Linked DNA regions of Sus scrofa. Each later gene encodes a partner of the first gene's protein in a complex. Links are inferred from orthologs where the notes say so. Each region holds a gene or a part of one and is shown on either strand. Other genes may lie near its edges. The genes, in order: NXF1 and NXT1.

Region 1 (4,588 bases):
ACCTTCCTGAGAGTGAGGAGAGGAAGTGAAACTTCCCCAGGGACCAACTTTCCCATCTGGGTTAAAATTTACCTCTTCCTCTCTTCACCATGTGAGGCAAGGGGCCCTGAGCCCTTTGGCTGCCTACACAACCCCAACTCTGGCTGCAGATGACTCTCAATCTGCCAAATGTGCTGCGGCCCGTTTCCTCCCAATTACAACAAGACTGTCAGCCTCACTAGCCATGTCGTCATTTCGGGGTGGGAGCGTCGAAGGGCCTTGGCAGCAAGTGGAGTGAGCCCACTGCCCAGCATCATAACTAAAAGGGTTGGGCTGATGGCCCTGACGGGCCAGGCTCACTCACTCTGTGCACACAGCTGCCTCCCGCAGGGGGTTTCCAGGTGTAGCAGCACTTAGTTAGCATGGAAACTTCCCTTCAGAGGCCCGTAACAGGATCCCAGCCTGGGTCCCTGATTGACGGCAACTTCCAGGACCATCTCCAGAAGTATTTGGACCTGTCTCATCTGCATGCTCCAACCATTTGGCCCCAAACTTACTTGCGCTGGATGAAGTAGGAGCCCTGCCTGCTGCTAGGAGTGAAGGTGACATGAAGAATCCGTTCCCAGCTCCAGCTGAGGCTCTTGGTCCCCTTGAAGCCCCTCACCACATCCAAGCCAGTCAGAAGAATGAAGGAGTGACCTGCCTGGAACACCCACCCTCCAGGGAGGTTAATATGCTTTCTAGTCCTGACCAGGACCCAGAACCACATCATCCTGCATCACTGGAGTTCCCCCACTTCACACACCCGAAAGGAAGCTCAAGCTGTAGAGACAACAGTCACTATACACTGTGCTGGCCCCAGTACTTTGAGGGGTCCAGGAGAGCCCAGGTCTTTCCTAGCCATGGCATTTTAATATTTCCTCTCCCTTTGGCCTGTGTTCAGCGTGTGGTCAGGCTGGCCTCCTCACTGCCCAGTTGACACAAGACGTGGGTTTAGCATAGCACATCCCGGTGGGTTGGTGGGTGGGTTGGTTTGTGAAGACAGCCAAAGCCTGGCAAATGCCGTTTTTCTCTCCTTTGATTGCAACTCTCTCGGAGGGAATGCATAGATCAGTAGTTATTTCACAAATATATGTTGGGTTCCTGCTGCGTGCGTGCTAAGTATGGTATCCAGTCAGGTGCCGGAGAGAAAAAGCCGTGAATTAATCAAGCCCCTGCTCTCTAGGAGTTTACCGTTAGTTTTCTATTTCATTTTATAGGCGAGGAGACCGAGGCCTAGATCTGCAAGTGTCAAAGGGCTGAGCTGAGACTTGCCCTGGCTGGATCCTTCTAGGTGTCTATGTGCGGTCACTCCCGCTCCTAAGGGCCTGGTCTCCCACTCCTCGGAAGCCCTTCCTGTAGCCCCTCTTCCCTGTTCCTCTCGGAATCCTGGGCTGCAGTAGCCACCTCTCCGCTTCACCGCTGACCCTGGAGGTGCTCCAGCAGAGAGCTACTAGCGGCGGGGTGGATGAAAGCAGGGGGCCGGCGAACCCGCGGTAACTCGGCTTCCCAAGCTCAGGTCCTGGGCGGGGCGTGCAACGCCAAGTCCCGCCCCCGGCTAGTCCGCTCGTCGAATGCGCACGCGCGTCTCCCAGTGGTTCCGCCCATCACCGTGGGACGTCGGCTGCGCGCGACGCGCTGGCCGCATAAATGCGGCGGCATCCGGCGTAGGAGCACTTCAGCCGGGAGAGCCTGGGCGTTCGGACGTTTGCCGGTGTCGCGGGCCGCGACAGAGCCCGCCCCTGCTCGCTGCGCCATGGCGGACGAAGGGAAGTCATACAACGGTCAGTGCTGGCCCTTGGGTCGGGGAGCCGGTCGATCTTGGGCCCTGCTGGGCTGCGCCAGCCTAGGCCGCAGCGCCGGGGCGTGAGGCCGCGAGGGGCCCGGCGTCCACGGGGAACGGCGGTGGCGCGGCGCGGGCCCGGGGCGAGGCAGCCCGGGGGCCTGGGTGAGCTTGAGGGTTGGGTGCCGGGGTTGTTGACGCTGGGATCCTCCCTTTGCGGGCCCCTGCGACTCGGAGAGGTGGCTCAGTGGTGGGGTGATGAGATTCCTTTGAACTTTGTGGGTGGTTGATGCCTGTCAGTTCAATTTGGCGGCCAAACTGTTTAATGTGAGTCAGTGCCCTTCTCCTGGGCTGATGTGCCCTATTTTCTACCGCGCGTCCAGGCGATTTTGCCCCCTCCCCCACCTAACGCGTCTGTCGCTTAGGCTTAATATTTTAGATCTGCACATCAACTCGATGTTCTGGTCCAAACACTACACTGAGTTTTAGTCCAGAGCGGTGGTTAGGAGCCGAGGTTTCAATCCCGAGTTGGCTATGCCAAGCTTGAGTAACTTACACCCTCAGACTTCGTTTTCCATCTCCTTAATGAGGATAGAAACAGTACCAGCCTTCTGAGTTTGTCTCCGTGTGTGTGTGTGTTAAAACGAGATCATTCATGTCAGGTGCCTGGAGCATAGTGCCTGACACTGGAGAAGAGTGCTCAGTGAATGTTAGCAACGACTTGTGTGCATTTATTACTTTTTTCCTAGGGTAACTTCTTGAGAAACTCATATTTTTAGTTTTTTAAGGAACCTCCATACTCTTTCCCGTAGTGGCTGCACCAGTTTTCATTCCTACCAACAGCGTAGGAGGGTTGCCTTTTCTCCACATCCTCTCCAGCATTTGTTTTTGTGGACTTTTTAATGTTGGCCATTCTGATTGGTGTGAAGTGCTACCTTATTGTGGCTTTGATTTGCATTTCTCTAATAATTAGTGATGTTGAGCATCTTTTCATGTGCCTGTAGGCCATCTGTATCGTGGGTCTTTTTTTTTTTTTCTTTCTTTCTTTTTTTTGCTTTTTAGGGCCCCAGCCGAGGCATATGAAAGTTCCCACGCTAGGGGTCCAATCAGAGATGTAACTGCTGGCCTACACCACAGCCACAGCAACGCCGGATCCTTAACCCACCGAACTAGGCCAGGGGCTGAATCCGCATCCTCATGGATCCTAGTTGGGTCCGTTAACCACTGAGCCACGCAGGGAACTCCTTCATGGGTCTTTTTTAAGAAGCGCTTCCTACACACCAGGGTTCAGAGGATCATATTCTTGGAGAGGACCCTTGGTGAAGCATCCTAACTGCCACTGGAACCTGAATTCAGGAGTTGTCTCCTTAGTTAAAAGCCTTTTCTGACCAAGAAAACAAAGAGCTCACTCCCAAACGTTCAGAGTGGCAGTTTGAGAATAAGACTTTTAAAAGAAGCCCTTAAATTGGTCCTATCTGTGTGTGGTGTTTGTATTGTATGGGCAAAAGGAGAGCTGTTTCCCCGAAAGCTAGTGTAATCATGAGGACGGATTTGCCACCTGTGAGAGGGGTCACCTCGGGGTTAAGTAGATTTGGGTGGGCCCACAGAAAGCGGATGTCGGGTGACTTTTGAGGGGTTCGAATTGTGTCCAGTTACTCTGGGTCACTCACACTTCACATTCACTTGAGAGTGGCAGTTGGAGAGCAAGATTTTTTTTTTTTTAAATCTTTTTAAATTGAGGAAGGTTGATTTACAATGTAATGTTGGTTTCAGGTGTACAGCATAGTCATTCCTGTATTTATAGATTACACTCCATTAAAAGTTATTGGAAAATAATCGTTGTCATTCCCTGTGCCGTACAACAGATCCTTGTGGCTTATCTCTCTTATACTTAGTAGTTTGTATCTCTTAATCCCATATCTTGCCTTATCTTGCCCCTCCCCCTCATAACCACTAGTTTGTTGCCTGTATCTGTGAGTCTGTTTCTGTTTTGCTGTATACATTTTATTTTTTTAAATTCCACCTGCAGGTAATGTCACATAGTATTTGTCCTTTTCCCTCTGGCTTATTTCACTAAACGTAATACCCTGCAAGTTCATTCATGTTGCAACTATGGCAAGATTTCATTCTTTTTGATGGCTGAATAGTATTCCGTTATGTGTGTGTGTATGCACCACATCTTTATCCATTAGTCTCTTGGTGAACACTAGGATCGCTTCCATAGCTTGGCTACTGTAAATAGTGCTACCGTGAACATGAATCTTTTTGCATTATATATTTCTTTCTAGATGTATATCTAGGGGTGAAATTGCTGGTGGTCATATGGTAGTTCTATTTTTAGTCTTTTGAGAGGAGAACAAGACTTTAGAAGATGCTTGTGGAGTTCCCTGGTGGTTCAGCAGGTCGAGGATCTGATGCTGTCACTGCTGCAGCATGGGTTTGAGCCCTGCCCTGGGAACTTCTGTATGCCTTGTGGGTGCAGCCAAAAAAAAAAAAAAAAAGGTCTTAAATTGGTCATATTTGTAACTGACATTTGTGCTCTATAGGCAAGAGTCCTGTTTACCAGAGCTGATGTAATCATTGAGATTGGTTTTTCCCCTTGTGATTGGTTTTCCTTTGTGATTGGTTTCCCAAGATATAATCACTGACCACATTTCCAGTGGAGTTAAGTAGACTTGGGCACTTGAGAGCAGGCAGTTTTCAGGTGACCTGACCGAGTGTGAGTTGTGTCCAGTTACTGCTCGGGACACTCGCACTTCCACATTCTGCTTCTCCTTTGTAGTTCCA
Region 2 (4,555 bases), on another chromosome or scaffold:
AATAATGTAAAAAGAGAATGTACTGGCTTTTAGAAAGCTCAAACTTCAAGGTTGATTTGGTTCCCAATACAGTTATCAAAGGCTTGATCTCTCCCCATCTCTCTTGTCTACCTCGTCACACAAGGGCTCCCTCCTCAGGGTGGCAAAATAGCTGCCACAGCACCATCCACATATCACATGTCCAGAAGGAGAAATAGCATCTTTCCCCCAGTCCCCTGGCAAACTCCTTTTCTAGGTTCAGTGGCCCTAACTGGGCATTCTACTACCCCAGAATTGGGCGCTTAGAGCCAAAGGTATCTCTAACCTCCCAACTCAAGCACCACAGCTGCAGTAAAAACCAGGCTTGCTTCCAAGAGGAGAGGGTTAACTGATAGAGAAGAGTCATTACAACTAGAATGTTATGGAGCAATGAGTTGAACCCAGGACTGTCTGCTAATTCAAACAATATTTATTGGCATTCCAGTCGTGTCACAGCAGAAACAAATTTGACTAGGAACCATGAGGTTTCGGGTTCGATCTCTGGCCTTACTCAGTGGGTTAAAGATCTGGCATTGGCGTGAACTGTGGTGTAGGTCACACGCACAGGGGGCTCGGATCTGCTGTTGCTGTGGCTCTGGCCTAGGCCTGCGGCTACAGCTCCGATTAGACCCTTAGCCCTGGGAACCTCCATATGCTTTGCGTGTGGCCCTAAAAAGACAAAAAGACAAAAACTCTTGCTGTGGGTCAGAAACAATTTGCTGGTGACACAAATCTAGAAGTTTCCTGCCCTCTCACTCTCCTGCTGCTGACTCTGCTGCCTCTCAGCGTTAAAGCCTTGCGTTTTCGAAGAACTCAGAGCAGGATAAATGCCCTCCTAAACATCTTTTCTAGGTCTGAAGGCGTTCTGTGACTCCAAGCTGTCATTTAATTTGTATCTCTCTGCCTCCTCGTCTATACAATCAGGAATGATGATTATATCTCCGCCTAAGGTATGAGAATGAAATGAAAAGGGCTTACATGAGAAACAAAGAAACTCAAAAGCAGCAGGACATCCAATCCAGGGGTCATAGGGGAGGTCAACTCCCGTTTTCATTCCAGTCATACGGTCATTCAGAGTTTTGTACATTAAACTCCATTTTCACTGGCTTGGGCTTTGTAAAGACATTGAAGAGTGAATACCACTCCAGAAGTGTTAGTTCAGTTCACGCTTTTTACTCAGCCAGCATTTTATTTTTTTATAATCCAAATGATTGACTACTTAAGTGGGAGGTCACCTATGCTGTAGAGCACCCCCCCCCCCGCCCCAGTTTCTAAACTTGTCCTGACACCTGAAAGCAAGGGTCCTCTTAGGAAAACAGGCAAAGGTGCGCGCTAGGTAAGCTGACCATAGAGACGCCGGGAAAACGCAGAGCACTAGTAAACCTCACCTGTCTAGAGGCCTCTGCGCAGCCGCGAGACAGCCCCGCCCCCAGTGCCGGAGACCCCAATCAGGGGCCTCATCTACCTTGCGCCGGAGTCAGTGACCCGGATGAACCAATTAAGACTCAAGCGCGGATTTGCTGTGGTCTTCTGGGAAAGCGCCTCTCCCGGAAGCCTCGAGGCCTCGAGCCACACCTGGGCGGGGCTTTCCGGCCCCGCCGTCCCACTGGCTGATACAGCTGCCCGTCACAGGGAGGGGCGGGGCCTGGAGCTCGCGTCTGCGCCGACCTGGCTGGCCCCGCGCGGGAACCCGCGGAGGCGCGGACGAGACCCGGCAGGTCCCGGGAGGAAGGGGCGCGGAGGGGGGGGCTCTTCCCGGCCCCTTCAAGCAAGCGGCGGAGGAGCGCGGAGACTCGGCAGGCCAGGCCAGACCGTCAGGGGGGTCCCCGCGGAGCCGCGGCCCGCGTGACCAGAGCCGCCCACGCCGACCCCAGCTGACTGAGGCCCCCGCTGACTGGGGTCATATCTCCACGCTGACCGGCGCCGACCAGGGCCGCCGCCCCGCTGCCCCTGCCGCTCAGGTAGTTCCCCCCGCTCAGGTAGGTGTCTTCCGTGCCGGTAGGTGCCCCCCCTACCCTCTGCCCCCGCATTGTGGGGATGCAGGCTGGTCCTGCCGCGAGACTTAAGCAGGTTACAGCCCCGCAGGAATGACTCTCTTCCTGCAGACCCTCCAGGTGGGCGGCAGGTTGAGCTGTGTCCGCGGAGGCAGGGAACCCAGGTACCGGGGAATCGCGTAGAAGCCGGGTGAGGGGGAGTCCAGCGAGGGAGACAGGCCTGTGGGGGCGGGGCGGGGGACGGATTATAAACTAGCCCTCGGGAAACGAGTGCCCGCACATTTGACCCCAGAAAGGCAGGAGTCAGTGAGAGGACAGCACCGTCCCAACATCGTGTTCTTAGATGACAGATGGGGGTGTGCCCACGCGGACCCTCATCCACACCTAAGTATTCTTTTCTCATTAGCGAAGTTGTTACAGTAACGCCTCGTCCATTCTGGGGACCATTGAAAGACGTGGTGCAATGTTAAGCGCTAGAAAATAGGAGCTACAAGTGAGTGTCTGCAGAGCCGGACTTGAGATCCTCAGGAGGGGGTGGCAGAACCCGCGTGGGCGCCTGGCCCCCAGGCCCCTTTCTGGAGGGATCTATCTCCAGCCTCGCCAGTTCTGTCCTGGAGGCTCAGGCCTCCACCTTCCTTAGCCCTTAAGCGTTCCTGACTTCTTCCCAGCCCTACTTGGGGTCTTTTATCTATTACATGAGCTGATTTTTTTTTTTTTTTTTTTTTTTTTTTTTTTGCTTTTTAGGGCTACACCTGCATCACATGGAGGTTCCCAGGCTAGGGTTTGAATCAGAGCTGTAGCCGCCGGCCTACACCACAGCCACAACAACGCAGGATCCAAGCCATGTCTGCAACCTACACCACAGCTCACACAACAGCAGATCCTCAACCCACTGATCAAGGCCAGGGATGGAACCTGCACCCTCACAGTTCCTAGTCGGATTTGTTTCCGCTGTTCCACTGCAGCATGGTGGGAACTCCTGATTTTTTTTTTTAAGTTAAGGTCTTTGAAACGAAAAAATATTCAATATTTAAGTTTGTAAATCTAAACATATTCACTATCTTGGTAATGTTGTCCTCTGTTTGATTTTTGTGTGGTGAAATGTTTTAATCATGCAAAAAAAGAACAGAACAGTTGTACCATACCCGGAAAAAAAGCAAGTAATAATTTTTCCTTATGCTTTTGGACTGGTTTTGTTGTTGTTTGTGCTGTTCCTTTTGGCGGGGGACAGCAGTTGGCAGTGGAAGTTCCCGGGCCAGGGATCAAACACATGCCACAGCAGTAGCCAGAGCCACAGCAGTGATCCCTAACCCACTGAGCCACCAGGGAACTCAAAGATGTTTCTAATAATGGGTATCTATATTGCTGGGCACTTTTTTTCTTTTTCTTTTTTTATTTTTTTAAGCCATTCTCACAGCCTGCAGAGGTTTCTGGGCCAGGGATCGAACCTGAGTCAGTGACAACTCTGAATCCTTAACTACTAGGCAACCAGGGAATTTCCTCTGGACTGTTTATAAAGGAAGTTGACATTTTGGCTTCAGCCAAAATTCTTTTTTGCTGCCACCACCCCTTCGCCCTGCACCTCATAGAATCTCCGTCTGGCCCCTGCCTACTTTCATTAGCACTCAGGGCTTCCCTGTGCTCCTAGGATCTGCACATCCTCCCTCATTCCAGTCAGCACCAGCTTCGCTCCTCAGTGCCCAGCAGCATGAGGACTGCAGCCACCATAGCGGTCCTGTCCAGTCCTCGTAGCATTTGTTCTCTTAAGAAACCTGCCTTCTCCTCGCTCCCCAGGCCCTGTGGCTGAGCTCATACTAGATGGCCCCAGACTCATCAGCTGAGCTCTGCTGGCTGGCTGGCCTTAATTGGGCCTCTCTTCCCTTCCTGGGTGCACTGTCTTTACGGGGTACACTGCTTCCCTGCTTCTCCAGGGCAGCCACACCTGTTCCTCTCTGCCAGGATAAAGCAGCCTTCCATAGTCAGATGGCCTGTAGCTTATAAAATGAGTTCATTAGAATTCATAGTAATAGCTGCCACTTGTGAATGTGTGGGTCTCAGGCTTTTTCTGTCAGCGTGCGGTGTACACTGCTTTGTCTATTCCTACATTCAGTTACGCACAGTAACTTTAAAACGAGCAAACTGAGGCGCAGTAAGACTAGGCATCGGCACCAGTGTCTTCTGGAATCCTCTCCACCGTATGTATTTGTTCTGCCACCAGCAGAAGACGCTGGCACTCACACAGGCTCTCTTCGACTTTCCTGCCCCACAGCCTGGCTCCCCCAGGAACAGGAGGCACCTGGGCGGAGGCCGGAGATGGCATCCGTGGACTTCAAGACCTACGTGGACCAGGCCTGCCGCGCAGCCGAGGAGTTTGTGAACGTGTACTACAGCACCATGGACAAGCGGCGGAGGTTGCTGTCCCGCCTGTACACAGGCACTGCCACCCTGGTGTGGAACGGCAATGCCGTTTCGGGACAAGAATCCTTGAGTGAGTTTTTTGAGATGTTGCCTTCCAGCGAGTTCCAGATCAACGTGGTAGACTG

What was found.
Region 2: the proteins of NXF1 (region 1) and NXT1 are in contact, whole or in part, in a crystal structure (PDB 4WYK), measured with the Homo sapiens proteins. The link is inferred for Sus scrofa from reciprocal best matches to the Homo sapiens genes NXF1 and NXT1. Residues at the interface, in NP_006353.2 of Homo sapiens: Ala366, Pro367, Thr368, Thr369, Leu370, Pro371, Pro372, Cys373, Lys374, Gly375, Tyr377, His411, Gly413, Cys415, Cys416, Ser417, Leu418, Ser419, Ile420, Pro421, Phe422, Arg440, Asn441, Val442, Lys443, Lys444, Lys446, Pro448, Thr449, Arg451; in NP_037380.1 of Homo sapiens: Phe6, Lys7, Val10, Asp11, Cys14, Glu18, Thr44, Val46, Trp47, Asn48, Gly49, Asn50, Ala51, Phe61, Met64, Leu65, Pro66, Ile72, Ser73, Val74, Val75, Asp76, Cys77, Gln78, Pro79, Val80, His81, Glu83, Ala84, Thr85.

The regions. Positions count from the first base shown.
Region 1 is NC_010444.4:8,968,294-8,972,881, forward strand, and holds the start of NXF1 (nuclear RNA export factor 1), read left to right. Parts: upstream 1-1,774; coding exon 1,775-1,802; intron 1,803-4,588.
Region 2 is NC_010459.5:30,336,726-30,341,280, forward strand, and holds the start of NXT1 (NTF2-related export protein 1), read left to right. Parts: upstream 1-1,653; 5' UTR 1,654-1,997; intron 1,998-4,281; 5' UTR 4,282-4,325; coding exon 4,326-4,555.